Rattus norvegicus: one gene and its partners. The protein of the gene in region 3 purifies or fractionates together with the protein of the main gene of each other region. This does not show direct contact. Links are inferred from orthologs where the notes say so. Each region holds a gene or a part of one and is shown on either strand. Other genes may lie near its edges.

What was found.
Region 1: the proteins of Usp46 (region 3) and Dmwd purify together in Homo sapiens (affinity purification with mass spectrometry; 5 studies listed by BioGRID and IntAct, counting the BioPlex papers as one, with this or other methods). This does not show direct contact. The link is inferred for Rattus norvegicus from reciprocal best matches to the Homo sapiens genes USP46 and DMWD.
Region 2: the proteins of Usp46 (region 3) and Phlpp2 purify together in Homo sapiens (affinity purification with mass spectrometry; 4 studies listed by BioGRID and IntAct, counting the BioPlex papers as one, with this or other methods). This does not show direct contact. The link is inferred for Rattus norvegicus from reciprocal best matches to the Homo sapiens genes USP46 and PHLPP2.
Region 4: the proteins of Usp46 (region 3) and Phlpp1 purify together in Homo sapiens (affinity purification with mass spectrometry; 7 studies listed by BioGRID and IntAct, counting the BioPlex papers as one, with this or other methods). This does not show direct contact. The link is inferred for Rattus norvegicus from reciprocal best matches to the Homo sapiens genes USP46 and PHLPP1.

The regions. Positions count from the first base shown.
Region 1 is NC_086019.1:87,849,253-87,853,340, reverse strand, and holds the start of Dmwd (dystrophia myotonica WD repeat-containing protein), read right to left. Parts: upstream 2,801-4,088; 5' UTR 2,721-2,800; coding exon 2,289-2,720; intron 845-2,288; coding exon 662-844; intron 1-661. UniProt on the Homo sapiens protein: Regulator of the deubiquitinating USP12/DMWD/WDR48 complex. Functions as a cofactor that promotes USP12 enzymatic activity.
Region 2 is NC_086037.1:54,743,266-54,747,380, reverse strand, and holds the start of Phlpp2 (PH domain leucine-rich repeat-containing protein phosphatase 2), read right to left. Parts: upstream 2,801-4,115; 5' UTR 2,730-2,800; coding exon 2,631-2,729; intron 1-2,630. UniProt on the Homo sapiens protein: Protein phosphatase involved in regulation of Akt and PKC signaling.
Region 3 is NC_086032.1:34,502,853-34,506,949, reverse strand, and holds the start of Usp46 (ubiquitin carboxyl-terminal hydrolase 46), read right to left. Parts: upstream 2,801-4,097; 5' UTR 2,725-2,800; coding exon 2,689-2,724; intron 360-2,688; exon of another isoform or gene 195-359; coding exon of another isoform or gene 180-194; intron 1-179. UniProt on the Homo sapiens protein: Deubiquitinating enzyme that plays a role in behavior, possibly by regulating GABA action. May act by mediating the deubiquitination of GAD1/GAD67.
Region 4 is NC_086031.1:22,821,863-22,825,931, forward strand, and holds the start of Phlpp1 (PH domain leucine-rich repeat protein phosphatase 1), read left to right. Parts: upstream 1-1,269; 5' UTR 1,270-1,518; coding exon 1,519-2,983; intron 2,984-4,069. UniProt on the Homo sapiens protein: Protein phosphatase involved in regulation of Akt and PKC signaling.

The sequences.
Region 1 (4,088 bases), on a different chromosome or scaffold from region 3:
TGGATAGAGACTTGCACAGGAGGGACCACTGTGCTGTGAACGGGCATGTGAGTCTCTAATGCACCCATTGCTCTGCTGCTTCACGCCCTTCAGCCACTTGCTTATTCTGAGAACATTTGTGGCTCACCTCCCCTGGACCAGAGTCAGTATGACAGAGCACAAGGCCCTCCCTGCTGCTTCTAAGGTCTCCGGGCTCCTTTGAAGCCAGGCTAGCCCAACCAAGCAGTCCTTGTGAATAAGAGGACACAAATCCTAAGAAAACTAAGGCTCAGACAACACACTTTTCCAAAACCACACAGTAAGTCAGTAATATAGGAGGAACTAGAATCCAAAGCCCAAAGAGCCCAGAATTTGAAACTAGAGAGAATATCAAAACATCCCAAGTGACTATGAGCCTCAGTCTTCTAATCTGTGAGATGGGCACCATATTTTCTTATGCATCAGAAGATAAGAACCCAAGCAGTAAAGCATTCTTTCAGCATAGGGCTGGCTCAGCAGAAAACTGATAGATTGTACACACAATGGTGACATCAATGGCTGTCATGGCTGTCAGTCATTCGTTCCTCTCCCCTTCATCCTGCCCCTCTCAAGCCTACTCTATTTCCAGGCAGTTTAGTGCAGGATAGATAATGAGAAAGGAACAGTTCAAGTCCTCAATCACCTCTTCATTGAATAGCTTGCTGGTGTCTTTCTTGATGAGGTCCAGATACTGCACCTGGCCGGCAGAGAAGCCCACCAGCAGGGAAATGGTCTCTGTGGCAGCTGTGAACTGGTTGAAGTCGTGGCAGGTGGGCTGGGTCCCCTTGTAGATCCTCTTGTCGATGGGCTTGTTGAGATCAATGGACTTGAACCATGGGAGAAGACGAGTTAATGGGTTAGAGCGGGGAGAGGAAGGAAGAGGGAGCTGAGGTCAGGGAAAACCACCAAGAGGAAGCAGGGTTAACCTCGAGGGAAGTGGGGAGGTGGGTGGGGAGGAACAGGCAACCACAGGCTGGGAGGGGATTCCTCTCAACCCAGAAGGACAGCACACACATGCTCACATGCACACAATCACACACTACCCAGGAAAGACCACAGAGCCTTTCCATTGTAATTTAGGGACACTTGCCCACAGTGTCAGGGATCAGAGTCCCCTGGCCTGGAGCTGACTCCACCATCCTTCCCTGCCACCATCACAGTAGCAGCTCCAGGAGGACAATATTCTAAGACCTCCAAGATCCAAGGACTCAAAAATTCCAACACCTTAGGATTTCTTTCATTATTTTCTACATGTACATGTAGTATATACACCTGTGTGGTCGTTGTGCGTTATGTATGTGGATGTAGAGGTCAGAGGCCAACATTGAGCATCTTTCTCTGTGGCTTTGCATCTTACATTTGACACAGGGTCTCTCACTCAACCTGGAGCTCACCAATTCAGCTAGACTAGCTGCCAGTAAAACCAGGGTCCTTCTGCCTCTGTGCTCTCCAAATTTGGGTTACAGACTCACACAGCAGCAGCCTTTTACATGGGGTACAGGGATCCAAACTCAGGTCCTCATGCTTTCAAAACTCACATTTTGTTCAATCTGGAGTCCCTAAACTCCAGGACTTCTGTCATAGTTCAGACAGCCATCAGTCATTACAACCCCTCATATTTGGGGTACACAATCACCACTGCATTCTCAAAATCCCCATCTCTGTCTCCTCTACTCCCTCACTTTGCCCCCCCCCCTTCTAGGATTGCTTTACAGATGTCTGTCACACCTGGGGATGTCCCCGGCCAGGAACCCCATCAATTCAAAACTCCCATCAGTTCTTCCAAAGCCATTAGACATCATATTCTTTGGAGCACATTCACCTGTTACTTTGCTACACACCAAGTCCTCCCTGCCTTTTGTCCGTAAGACTTCCATCACTTACAAATCCTGTCACTCCTGGGTATGACAAGTCTTAAGTCTCCCCCCAACAGGCCCAGAATGCAGTATGTACTTCTCTGTTCTCCATCCCCCCAACCCCCACCCCGGCCTGCATCCTCCTAGGATTCCCCATTGCCTGCAGAATGCCTGTCACCTCAGAATCCGTGGCCCCCTCCCCCATTTCCTCCCAGAAGCCCCATCACATCCTGAACACTAACTTACCACCCCCAAGAACCCCCACGCAAAGATTGCCCTGCAACCTCTTAGGACTGACTCCATTAGCTCCAGAATCCAGGTTCCCCTGGGATGCCCAACCTCGGGTCCTTCTGTCATTCTGGGACCCCGATGCTATCGGCACCCAAGTCCCCACAAAGCGGAGCACTCACTCACCCGTTGGCTCCCGCGGCGGCAGCAGCCGGGATAAAAGTAAAGCTCACGGCCCAGGTTGAAGCAGACGCGGTCTCCTCCCGCGCCCAATCCCGAGGGCGTGGAGGGCGGCTCCCCAGTGCCATCGGGGTCGCCTAGGCGCACCAGGCTGAGGCGGACAGCGGGCAGCGCGGGCCCGGGCCCAGGGCCAGCGGGCGGCGGGGACGATGCGGGACCTGCGGCGCCAGGCCCGGAGGCTGAGGCGGGCCCTGGCGGGGGCTGAGTGGGCTGAGGCGGCGCCGGGGTCTGAGCGGAGGTCGGGCCGGACCTGCGCGTCGCATCGCCGGGAAGCAGCTTGTAGAAGCCCTCGCGGGTGCGAAACTGCGACTTGATCTCCGCGCAGTCACCCATGGCGGCGCTGGGGCCCGGGCCGCCCTCCGCGCCGCCCGCCGCCATCTTGGCCGCCCCCCGGGCTGCGCCGCAGCCAGACCGCCCACCGCCCGACCCCCCAGCCGGAAGTTGCAGGGCTGGCACCGGAAGGGGTAGGGTCGTCGTCCGGGTGACGCCTCTACGATTGGCACCCAGACGCGGAGGCGGGAGGAGCCGGGACAGTTGCTGAGGTAACGGTTCTGGAACTGTGGGGGGGGGGGCAAGATGTAGGCGTGGTCGACGCGACAGATGCTCGCGTGTGGTTGGCTACGAGGCGTGACTGTTGGGAACGCCCCTAGACCCTAACAACATCGCCCTGGGAACCGTTTGCCCAGCAACGGAGAAACCTCAAAGCCTATTCAGAATCCTCGTGTTGTTACTGCTGACTCCAGGCGATTCTTGTCTGTTTTTTTTTTTTTTTTTAATTAAAAAATATTGCATTTATTTTTGCGTGTATTTGTGCGTGGATGAGCATATAGAGGTCAGAAAGAGCCAAGTGCCCTTCCACTATGTGGATTCTAAGGATGGAATGCAGGTCCTCATGCTTGGCAGCAAGCATTTTACTGACCTTTGTTTGGTCTCACACTTGTAGCCCAGGCTGTCTTCAAACTTGACCCAACCTCTGGGGTCTGTCTCCAGGAGTGCTTGGATTTCAGGCCTGAGACACCACCCTCAGCTTCTCGTTTCATTTTAGATGCTCAACAGTATTTTGCCCTTCAATATTTGACTGGCAGACTAAAGTCTCCTCCCTTCTCACTGACACCTGTGGTCCTCTGCTGCTGTCAGAGTGAAGTGTAGCCATCTGTGACCTTTCTGACTTTGCCTTCCAGTTTTGTTTTGGTGATGATGGTTGTTACCTTGTCAATTTTGCTACCTTATCTACCTAGAATTACAGTGAGGAACAGTCTACATTGGGTTGGCCTGTAGATGTGGATGTGGGAGAATGCATTAACTGATACAGGAAGACCCAGTCCATTGTGGGAGGCGCCATTCCCTAGTCTGGGGGTCCGGAACTGTGTAAGAGTGGAGAGGCAGGGGGCTGGGGATTTAGCTCAGCGGTAGAGCACTTGCCTAGCAAGCACAAGGCCCTGGGTTCGGTCCCCAGCTCCGAAAAAAAGAAAAGAAAAGAAAAAAAAAAGAGTGGAGAGGCAGGCTGCACAAGGAAGCAAACACACATGGATTCCTTCTTTCTGGTCTACTCTGGCGACCTCCTTGCCTTGATTTCCCTACCCTGATGGACAGTGACCAGGAATTGCAAACTGAAATAGCTCTTTCTCCCCTAAGCTGCCCTTTGTCGAAGTATTTTATGTTTTATCCCAGCAACAGAAGAAAATTTTGTTTTGTTTTGCCCCCTCCCCACCACCCTTTTGTGAGACAAGGTCTCTAGTTCTGGCT
Region 2 (4,115 bases), on a different chromosome or scaffold from region 3:
ATGCAACACACACACAACATGCACATAAAAGCAATTTCAAAACATTTATTTTGATAAAAATATAAAACTATTCTTAAAGAAAAAACAAATAATATTCACAGTGTAGATTCCCTATAACTTCCTGTCATCCATCTCCTGATTGATTAAACTAAACCATAACCTCAAAATCATAGGAAACATCTGAAAACCTTTTGAGCTTGAGTCAGTAACTTGAGAAAGTTCTAGAACTCTGACATACACTCTATGTTGCTCAGGCTAGCCTTCGCCCCTGAGGCTTAAGTATGATCTCATGTCAGCCTTCGTAATAGCTGAGGCCACAGGTATGAGTCCAGAGCCTTGGTTTAGGAGTGTATTTAGAATAAGGTGTTCCAGTGTCCTATGGTCCTTGATGAAGTCTGGATAAATTATGTTGGCTCAGTTATGTCAGGCTTTTTATGAAGACCTTCTTATGAAAAGTTGAGAATAATGTTCATGATTTGGGTGTAAGTATAAAGGAATAAAAAGTCTGTTTCTTTGTTTTGTTTTACAAGACAGGGTTTCCCTCTGTATCCCTGGCTATCCTGGAACTCTGTAGACTAGGCTGTCCTGGAACTCAGGGATCTGCCTGCCTCTGCTTCCCAAGTCCTAAGACTAAAGACATGCACCACCTTTTATAACTTTTTTTGATGCTTAGGCTGAGGAATAAAACCAGAGAATTTGGACACTGGAAGCTGACCGCCGAGCTACACTCCTAACCCAGAGCCATACCCCTAGGCTAGAGAAGTCTTTACAAACATCCCCAGAGAAACACATGTAGGCAAACATGACATTCTTCAAGGTTCAGAGCATCTTCTGCTCACCTCTGTACTCTTTATAGGCTACCCCTGAGAGAGGGAACCACTCAGTAACTCCAGAGAACCTCCTGCTAGTAGAACACAGAGACCTGTTTCCATGACCATTCTGCTTATTCACGAGGACCTGTCAACCACTGCAGGAAACAGAAAGGCCTTCCAGAAAGGCTTTCATGGCAAGAGCTCAGAACTGACCAAGAATCAAGACTGACCAACCACTGGAGACTTTCGAATAATCCCAACACGGGAACTTAGGGAGCTAGGGAAAGGCAGTCTTCAATAAAGATTTTCATTCATACAATTTGCCACTCCAACATGACCCAAAAACGTTAAAATAAAAGGTTTTTGAAAATTTGCTCATCTCTTGCATACCAAAAGACATTTGATATCAAAACTACTTCCTCATAAGTGAGGCCTACAGAACTTTTGTTTTTATTGAATCCACTCACAATTTACAGTTTGCTATTGGCTCTGAATGATTACACTTCGATTTATGCTAGAGTAAATTCCAATGTGGGTAACAGTTATGAAGTAATCTAAAATTAACTATGCACTAAAACTGGGAGGTGCTAGAAAATAATATTTAAGTCTTGGTTTCATGAATTCACTGAGTGCAACAAATCCACTTTCCTGCCGTTCCCCATTTTTGTGCTACTCTACTAATAATCTTAATAAAAGGAAATATCACTCAACCACAATCTCATTTAATCACTAATCACTTAATGTTTGCTTTTAACATTAAGCATCTTCGATGTCTGGCATACTGTTTTTGAAACACAATGAATCTCAATTTTCTCTCTCTTCCTCTTTGGCAAGTTTAGATCCTGCTCCTCTAGTGCTCCAGAGGAATTCCATTCCACTATTCCACTTCGTTTATATACTGAACCTACGGACAAATGTCTCTGCACTATTTCAGAGGTTAGTAGAGAACTCCACCCAGTTAGCCACCCTTTAACCATCTCTGGTGACCTCGCCTCACCTTCTGCATTCTTCCTGCATAGAAACTTCTTGTCATCACTCACCTTCAAGGCTTCACTCCCCTTCCCCCTGCATCTGTTTTCCTATCCTCCTATTCCCCCATTCTACCAAAAAGCCCCGCTTAAGCTGCCTGTTGCATAACGGCTCCCCCACTGCCTTCTCCCCGGATTGTCAGCCAAGCAGGAGTGCCCCTTCGGGCTCTGCTCCTCCCCGCCCCCCAACCCCTGCAACACGCCCAGCGGGTTCTCAGGCAGCAGATCCTCGGGGGCTGTCCCCAAGCGGGAAGCTCCGGGTGTCGCGTCTTGGAGCTGAGAGCCGGTTCGGAACTCGGTAGCCAGTCCCGAGGGCAGCGTGGCCGCTCTCGCCGGCGCAGCCCGCGCACACCGCAGCGCCTGGCCAATCGCCGCCGCCATCCTCCGGCTGGGGTGATGTCTTCAGGTGTCCGCCGAACCCTGCGTACTCGCCGCCTGACTCCCGCCAGGCGCGGCCCGCCCTTGGAGCCCCTCGGAACCGGTCCCAGGGCCCCGGGCTAGGCCCAGCGAAACGACGGCGGTCCGGGGGATGTGGGGAGGAAGGAGGGTGGGGGCAGCGGCTGCCTGAAGGCGTGGGCCTGCCGGGCGGCGGTCAGGGATGGACAGCGCCGCGGACCCAGGCGGCCGAGGCCCGGGCGGGGGCGCGGCACGGAGGCCCACAGCAGGCCCGTGGCGGCTCGGCCAAGTGCAAGCGGCCCAGGGACGCAGGGCGGGGGTCGCCCGCTGCCTCGGGCAGCTAGGCGAAGGCGGCCACGGCCCTCTTGCTTCCTCCCTCTCCCTGCCGACTCACCTTTAGGACCCGAATACCTCCGGGCCGGCGAGGCGCCGCCGCTTCAGGTGGCTCCGGGGGCTCCAGCGAGCCCGCGGGCACGGGCTCCACCTCCCCCATTGGCGGCCAAGGCTTTACAGAGACGCTCGGCCGGCGCGACAGCGAGAGCCTCGGAGGCGCGCGCGAGCAGCGGGAGGCCTCGCCCCTCCGCCTAGACCCCGCCCCTAACTAAGACGCTCTGCCTCCTTCAGCCCCGCCCCTGGCCCCTCTGGACCTGCGTAGTCGTGGGCCTGGCTAGAGGCCGGAGCAGAATTGTGGGAGGCTGGCGCCACTGCAGGTTGAGCCTCCGTTGCCCTGAGCTCAGAGGACTAGAGCAATTTGGTTCTTTTTGAGTCCTCCAAGGAGCGGCCAGAGGAAGAGACAGGTAAGGCCTGCACCTGTAAGATAGACAAGATACAACCCTTCACCACGGGCGGCGCTGGAATTCTCCATCCAAGACGTTTCCTGCTCCCAAAGGTGCTCCCCCCACCTCCCCGGCACCCACTGGCGGTGAAAGAACTGTTGTTTATACTCACCTCTTAGGATAGCTGGCGACCTTCTTCATCAAACAATAAGCTGTCCAGCCACACTTCGGTGTCCTTTTCCTGTAATCAAAGTACCAGATTTCCTTTCTCGTTCTTAAACAGTAACGTGGTGTGTAAGCCCCTCTTTCTAGTTTGCAAGGCTTAATTCAGCAAAGAATGTTTTAAAAGTTCCTGGAGTGATAGTAGTTTTGTGGTTAGTGGGCCAAATTATGAGTTTGCCTAATTCCAAATCTCAGTTGTACTCATTCTTAGATCTATACTTGTACAAATTACTTGATCTCTGATTTTTTTTTTCTTTTGAGACAGAAAATTACATGTAACCCAGGCACACCCAAACTCACTATATACCCAACACTGGCCTTGAACTTTTAGATTCTCCTGTCTCCCCGTTCAAAGTGCAGACGTGCACCACTCTGCCCAGCTCTAGTGGCTCTTCCGTTATCTTAACGGAACACGTGTATGCCTGTGACAGAGGCCTGAAGAGGGTGTCAGATCCTCTGGACCAGGAGTTACAGATGGTTATAAGTTGCCAGGTGAGCGCTGGGAGTTGAACCTGGGTCCTCTGGAAGAGCAACCAGTGCTCTGAACCACTGAGCCATCTCTCCAGAGCCTTGCCTTGGTTTCTTTTTTTTTTTTTTTTTTTTTTCTTTTTGGTTCTTTTTTTTTTTTTTTTTTTCGGAGCTGGGGACCGAACCCAGGGCCTTGCGCTTCCTAGGCAAGCGCTCTACCACTGAGCTAAATCCCCAACCCCCTTGCCTTGGTTTCTAAGGGGTGAATGAACTAGAGTAACATCTGCCTGGCAATTATCAAGGTGCCGTGGGCAAAACACACAGAACCTAACTCATATTAAAGACTCATAGTAGCCACCGTAATTCTGAAATGCTAGATTTCCCAAAAGGTGATTATGAGCATTAAACTGCTC
Region 3 (4,097 bases):
CCGGGTTGTGAGCCACCCAGTGTCAAGTAAATAAATATAAGCAAACGACAAGCAAACAAGCGGTCCCAGCCTGTACTCCCCGCTCCTCATACCAGCTGGGGCAAAGGGAGAAAGTTGTAAAGCTCAAGAAAGAGGCTCAGCGAGAAACCCAGTGACAGAGAGACTCGGAAGACACCTACCTGGAAACAGTTCATGCTCAAGTAAGGCTTTATCCCGCTGTGCACAGACAGACAGCAGTCTCCTGAGCACCAGCCTGCTCCTCTGGGAAATGCCAATGGGAGGGGCAGAAGTGACCTGAGCGGCTTTTATAAGGGGCGGGATTTCCAGTTCCCACCCCAGCTCCTCCACAGAGTCATTCAGCTTGCTCTGCCTAAGTGACCCAATGGGTTGTTTATACTCAAGTAGGAGAAGAAGACAAATTCTCACAGCCCCTAAAACAGACTGGAAGGTAAGAGAAAGAAGGTACTGACCACAGCCGCTGCCACTCACTGAGAAGTTATCACGTACCGGGCCCAGAACCCCAGGAACTCCCCCCTGGGTTGCAGCCATTATGGGCCCATTTTTACAAATGAAAGCTGAGGCAAAGACTATCAAAGTGCTCAAGGGCACGAGGCAGCGGTGTTGGAGGTGGGACTTGAAAGCTGGATGGAGCAGAACACCTCTGTCTGTCATCTAGTGCTTACAGGCGATGTCATGCTGGAGGTCTACCTGGGCTAAGGAGCCCCACAAATAAGTACAAAAACAGGAGCGAACCTAGAGTCTCACATTAGAATGCAAACATTTCTCCATTTGCCCAAGACAGTGTCTACACAGAAACATATTAGGTTTACTTCACAATTGGACATGGGGTGGGTGGGTGGGGTGGGTGAGAATTAACTTGGTCACCAGAAGTGTTTATTCTACTGACACAATATTGGCCCATTCCTCTCCTGTCCTCCCAGAAGCCTGTCTCCCTGGCTGAGTGTCACTGAAAACAGGTTGTGACATTCTGTCCAGGTGTGCCAAGAAGTCCTAGCCACAGTAAGGACAAGAACAAGCCGGAGGCAGACTTCCTCTTGGGACAGGCTTGCTCTCCGGTTTCCACTCGGCTTCAATACTGAGAGGTGTCATTGAAAGCAAACCGGACAAGAGCAGAACCAGGAGCAGGCACTGAGCCCCCGGGAGGCTGTAGGCCTGCGGCCACCCCCACAGGCAGGAGATACAGCATTGAAACTACTGTGGTATCCTAGTTCTCCACATGAGCTTGGTTACGGCGGAGACACGGAGAAGAAATGCACTGTCTTCTCAGGGCATCCAGCCACGTTAATGTCACCGGACAGGAAGAAGCAGGAAACCTGTGTCTTCAAGCAGAAAGGGGAGATGGCAAGGTGACAGGCCCCGTCATCTAAGGAGACCTGTACCAAGCCGGCAGTTACCATCACTCTTGGCGACCAGCGCAGAAAGCTGGAGCCAGCCCCAGCAGGTCTCAACTCCACCTGAGCTAACACATGGCTCCTTCATGCTCTGTGCCATGTGTTGATCTTGCAACAGAATGTGGGACAGAAGATTTAAAGAGCTGTGTGATGGGGGAAGGGCAGCCAGATCACCTTACCTAAGGCCTACTTAATCAGACCTCCTCAGATTCCCTTTGTATGCTAGGATGACTATCTAACTTGGTGGCAGGGTGTTCTCCAAAATGGCAAAAACAAACAAACAAAACCCAACAGCCAGCAGTGTTCCAGTTTGGAGGGGCTCGAAGCGGGAGGGAGAGGAGGATCCAGAGAGTACAGGCAGAGCACACACCCTCAAGCCCCACACCAAAGGTAATGCTGACCCCAAACTGACCTCCCTGAGGCTCTCACAAGTGGGGGTGCCAGCTGAGTACGCTCAGGGGACCCAAAGGTTGGAACTGGTCCCTAGGAAACTAAACAGAACGGGAAGGTAGTTGGGGGGGGGGGGGACTCCAAATTAAAGTGACCGCTGGGTAACACTCCCCGCCCCCCCACCCGCCCCCCTCAGACAGGCGAGGCAGTGCCCAAGCTAAATGGAGAGGAGGCGGGGCAGGATGACCCCTGCAGACTTCCTCACACCCACAGTCACCTCACTCCTAGGGCCTGCAAACGTTAACTGCCGCCTTACAATCTCCTGCATGCAGGTGGGGAAACTGAGGCCTCCAGAACAAATTGCTGTGCTTTCCAGGTTTTAGTTCGCTTCTCTAGCCAGATTCTTCACTTGGATTTTTTTATGTCTATCCGATTTCTCCTGGTAAGAACACTGCTATTGCAAAGTGAATCTTAAATACAATCGAGGCTGAACTCCAAAAAGGAGCAGAGGACAGTCCGTGAGTCCAGGAAGGGTTTATTTACTGCACCAGGAGGATCTACTTCCTCCCACTCCAGGCTTGCACCCTCATGGTCCTCCCTCGGGACAGCGGTGTGCGGCACCTCGCACCCTCCACCCCCACCCACCGCCCGCACCACAACTCGAGGGCGGGGGCATGGGGCTGCCCTGGGGATCCCTGGGATCCCTTCAGGGTCCCCGGCTGGGACAGAGGCGGGGGACTGCGGTCAGCTGGCCCAGCCTCAGAGCCGGGAACTTCTGACCGCGCGGCCCCCACGACCGCGGCGCGCGAGCAGCTCCAGCCCGGGGTTCCCTTTCTTTGCCTGGCTCGCTGCGGGCGCGACCCCCGGAGGCTCGGCGGCCACTCACCATATTACAGATGGAGGCGATGTTTCGGACAGTCATTAGTCTAAAGGTTGCAGCGATCGCGCACCGCCATCTTTACCAGGGGAAAACGGGACTGTCCATGGTGGCGCGCAGCGAGGCCGGGTGGCGGCGAGGCGGCCTGGGGCCGGCTTGCAGTGGGGTTGGGCGAGCGAGGCCGGGCGGCGGCGAGGGCGGGGCGGCGGCGCGGGGCGGGGAGTGGCGGAGCGACGCAGCCGGGGCCGCGGCCGGCGGGAGGAGGAGCCCAGAGCCGGGAGGCGCCGAACCGGGCCGCTCCTACGTTCCCGTGTCCGCCAGGACTCGGTCGCCCAACCCGGCTGAAAGCTGTTCTTGCTCCCCTGCCCTGGGGTACCGCTCCGTGCCAGCTGCATCGCTAGGTCAGTCCCCAACGAACCCAGCACCGCGGCCTTCACACTGGACCCAGGACACTGGACCCTGGCCGATCGTAGGCTGGGGACCTACACCAGGGGGACACAGGCATGCTCGTTTCCCGATTTCCCTCTGCCTGTTCCTGGTGGTCTCCAACCAGTCAGGGCTTTTAGAGATTAGCTAGGGGAGCTGATGAGTACGGGTGTAAGGGAGTAAGGGTAACCCTAGTCCAACTTTAAAGTTTCTCTCCAGGGTTCTAGCCAGATGGCATCCACCGGAACCCAAAAAGTAAAATGAGACCAGGACATGGGCGTGGCCAGAGAGCCCTGACCAGCAGTAACCCAGCTGCTTGGGAAAGGGTTCCCAGAAAGGAAAGTATTCCGGGTCTAGGAAAGCCCCACTCGGGAGATTTGTGACATTAGAAGGTACAGAGGAAATGGCCAGGTTCTGGGCGGTGCTAGAGGCTGTCCAGGAAATACCAAAACAAAACTTTTGTATCCTCCATCCAGGGAGCTCCTGATCTCAGTTTTGTGAGATTGGGTGCTGTTTGAGTTTTCACACATTCCCACAGAGGCCAAAACTGCAGGCTCAGGGTGCACATTGTACACCGCTTGAAGGATACATTCATGAGAATTGAAAAGGTCCATTTCAAACATGGGGAATAACTGTGCGTCTGCCGTCCCATGGTTTTTGCAGGGAAGCTGTGCATGTGAAACGTGATAAATTCCTGAACCAATGTATTTTGTGGGAAATTAAATTAGGAGAGAAATTAATATAATTGAAGACATCTTTATGTAGCCAAGAGTAACATACTGGTGGTGGGGAGGAGGGCGCAGAGTTTTATACATAACATGTGAGAGCCATCCATTGGTAATTCTTCTAGGACCTGGGGTGGAAATAGAAGACGAACACTACTGACTGAAGGGGGGAGTCACGTGGATACTGTATTTTTCAGTGTGTAGAAGGATTAATATGTCTGCTCACGATGAGTCATTCTACCAAAATTTTATTTTCATTTTTTTTAC
Region 4 (4,069 bases), on a different chromosome or scaffold from region 3:
CATCCCTCTTCAACAAAAATGTGTAGCTAACCTAAAACCAAGCTGCCTTGATAGGAATTTCAGTTCTCTCTCTCCTACCAAAGTTTTCTAAAATTAAGGCAGGCTCTGGATAGTATGTAACCCAAAGCCTCGAAAGTGAGTATCTACCTATGTAAAGCTACTATGAGGGTGGCAACTCAATGCACGACGTTTATCAAATATTTCAAATAGTTAATTGCCTCAAACCAGCTTGTTTCAACCAATAAAAAGTAAGTTTATAGATCATACATTGCAACAGTAAGAACTCACACAACATAGTTAAAGCCTAGGTGGTGAGCAGTTTGAGGAAGTATGGAGATCAGACTATACCGAGAAACCTTGTCTCATTCACCCTCTACCCAGCCCCGAGTGTGGAAAGAAAAATCCTGAAAGGACTAAGAGAAAGCAAGTCCCACAATGTCTCCATTCTAATATTTCTCCCTTCGTCTACTGTTTTCTGTTATGTAAGCTTTTACCAACAGGATACAAGGCCCCAAGTCCTTAGCTATTTCTGTCCTAATATGGGAGGGAGTAGATGGGCTTAATTTGAGTGCTTTACAGGAAGCACGTTCAACTATCTTCTAAAGAAGAATTTCCAAACACTGCTAGTTTTCATGGACCATGAAAAAAGTGCGGAAAAAGGAAGACCGGGCCAGCGATCCTGTGAACTGTGTATTTTTGTCTCATTCAAAGGCCTTACCTAGAGTTTAGAGTCCCTGAAAGCTCTCAATCTCAATTAGCCAGGAAAATAAAACTCATCTGGCAAACGGTAGAGAAGCGAGTTAATGAAAAACGTTCACAGGACACAGAGTTCAACAGCAGAGGGCACAATACCCACTAGCTAGGGCCAGAAGCTGGAAGAGAGGGAGGGCAGAATCTGACGATATCTGGGTCTTGTAGTTCGCTATTGGTCTCCATTGGAGGCTCGCCCAGGAGATGAACTACAACCCCCACTGTGCAACGCGAGCCCCTCTCGCCAGCTCTCGTCTATGGCGAGGACAAACCTCCTGGGAAACAGTTCTGCCCCACCCCCATACGCACGCGTCACGTTTGTTTACCCTGAGGCCCCGCCCCCAGCCTCCCGCTCTCCCCAGAAATGTCGTCATGCTAACGATGCATATTCATGAGCAACTCCGCCCCGCCACCGCCCGCCTTCCCGCGCTTCATTAATATTCATGAGTGAGGTCGGGCCGCAGCTCCGGGGAGCTCAGGCTGACGGGCAGCGGGCGGGGCCTGGCGCTGGGGAGCCCCGGACCAGCGGGGAGGGTGTGTGTGGGGGGGGCGGTGGCGGCGAAACGGGCGGGCGGCGCGCGGGATGGAACACCGAGACACCGACGGAATGCTCCGGATCGCCACATAATCCTCTGGAACAGCCGCGCCGAACGCCATCGGCGTCTCCGTTCTCCGCGCGCCGCTGCCGCCGCCGTCTCCCACCTTCGCCTCACCTCCTCCTCCTCCGCTGCCTCCGGAGCTGGGGGGGCGACGTGAAACCCCGCTACGATGGAGCCCGCCGCCGCAGCCCCGGCACAGCGACTCGCGGACCCCACGGGTGAGGACCGAGCCCCGGCGGCGGCGGCGGCGGCCGAGGGCGGACGGAGTCCGGATTCTGTGCTGAGCGCGGCGGCCCCGAGCGGCGGGAACGGCGGCGCGGCGCGAGAGGAGGCCCCCTGCGAGGCGCCGCCGGGGCCGCTGCCCGGCCGCGCGGGAGGCACCGGACGCAGGCGTCGGCGCGGGGTGCCCCAGCCCGCGGCCGGCGGGGCCGCCCCGGTGACCGCGGCCGGCGGCGGCGCCAACTCGCTGCTGCTGAGGAGAGGGCGGCTGAAGAGGAATCTGTCGGCCGCCGCTTCGTCGTCCTCATCGCCGTCCTCGGCGTCTTCGGCCGCTGGCGGCCTCCCGGCGTCCTGCTCGGCCTCGGCGTCGCTGTGCACCCGGAGTCTGGACAGGAAGACGCTGCTCCAGAAGCACCGGCAGCTGCTTCAGCTGCAGCCGTCGGACCGGGACTGGGTGAGGCACCAGCTCCAGCGGGGCTGTGTGCACGTCTTTGACCGCCACATGGCCTCGTCCTACCTGCGCCCAGTGCTCTGCACGCTGGACACCACAGCCGCCGAGGTGGCCGCCCGGCTTCTGCAGCTGGGCCACAAAGGCGGCGGGGTGGTGAAGGTGCTGGGCCACGGGCCACCTCCGGCCGCTGCCCCGGCCGCCAGCGATCAGACCCCGGCCACAGAGCTCGGAAGAGACGTGGAGCCACCGCCCTCGAGCAGCACGGTCGGTGCTGTCCGGGGCCCTGCGCGCGCGCCTCCTGCCGATCTGCCGCTGCCCGGGGGCGCCTGGACGCGCTGTGCACCTCGGGTCAACCCTGCGCCCTCGGACTCCAGCCCCGGAGAGCTGTTCGCGGGCGGCCCCTGTTCCCCGTCCCGCGCCCCGCGCCCGGCCTCCGACACCGAGAGCTTCAGCCTGAGCCCCAGCGCCGAGAGCGTGTCAGACCGGCTGGACCCCTATAGCAGCGGCGGCGGCTCCTCCTCTTCGTCCGAGGAACTAGAAGCTGACCCGGCCACGGTCTTGACGGGGCCTTCCGGGCCGCCCCACCACCCAGTCCGCTCCTCACAGCCTCGACCGCCTTCCCCGAAGACCTCGGCGTTACTGCAGCCGAAAGCCCCGACGGGCGTAGACGGCACTGGCCTAGTGGTGGGCGAAGGTCCCGGAGACGACAAGGCGGTGGCAGCTGCAGCTCCAGGCGTTCCTCTGTGGACTCCAGGGAGGATCCGGGAGACCGTGCAAAAGACGTCTTCTCCGCCCTCCCTGTATGTACAGCTCCATGGGGAGACTACCCGGCGCCTGGAGGCGGACGAGAAGCCATTGCAGATCCAAAATGACTACCTCTTCCAACTGGGATTTGGGGAGCTGTGGAGGGTGCAGGAGGAAGGCATGGATTCGGAGATTGGCTGCCTCATCCGATTCTATGCAGGTAAGGAAGTTGCATGCATGTTTCTGTATAGCGGCTTCGAACCCTGGCCCGGACCGATAAATGATTCGAGGGGCCTGGTGAGTCTGGCAGTCTTTTCTAGCTGGTTCACATGCTGTTTGTGCAAGTACTAAATTCAGTATTCTTTAAATCTGCACTTTTTAGTGTCCAGGTCTGAGGTTGGAAAGCCGGGTGGACGAGGTGGCAAAGTCACCTGGAAATACAGGAAACACCTAAGAGGGGTACGGGTCCTTAACTGTAAAGGTGGTTTCCTCCAGGCCTCTGCTCTCGTTGGGTTGCAGGCGGTTTGGGATTCCAGGTAACACATTAATATAGACAGAGGACAATGACCAACGGAAAGTGTTCCATGATGCCTTCCCTATTCAGCTGTCCACAGTTTACCATTCATAGACAAGGCAGTGTGTGTGGGCCTCTGGGGCTGTGCTCTTGTCAACTGATGCTCCTGTTCCACCGTCTGCCACGCTTCTTTGCTCACTGAGTTCTTGTAGACACCCGAGAAGTGTGTGTGTATGTTTGTTGTTTTGAGTGTTGCTCACCTTCGGCGTTTTTAATTACTTTATTTCACTTTCCAAGTTTGAATCTTGCATAAAAGATGAGTTGGCCTGCTTCTGTCTTGCAGCCTTTATTGTCAGAACTGCGACAGGACTTGAAACAGACTAGACTTAGTAATGTCGGTGATTACTGCCTCTGATGTGACCTGAACTCTAGCAGTATTTTAGTATCTGTTCAAGTGCTTGTCCAGGGGTGACCAGTCAGTTTCTCCCTTGCCTGGAGTCTTGGCTGGAACTAAGTCGTGGAGTTACATGGCTACTGGGTATTGTTTTTGAGCTTTGTAAGCTACTCGAACTCTGGTTGAAAGGGATTTTAGTGGTCAGAACTTCTGTTTGAAATAAGGTTAGCTTAGGAGAATTAAGACTTTCAGTTTTATATTGTAGGTGCATATACTAACAACCCATGATGCCCACAGAGCTTCTTCCACAGCTAGAGGTTTTTAGTCCAGCATGTGTCCTAGTTGCAGTTTAATTTGAATGAATTGGTCTTTAACACCCACATTGATATATGCAAGAC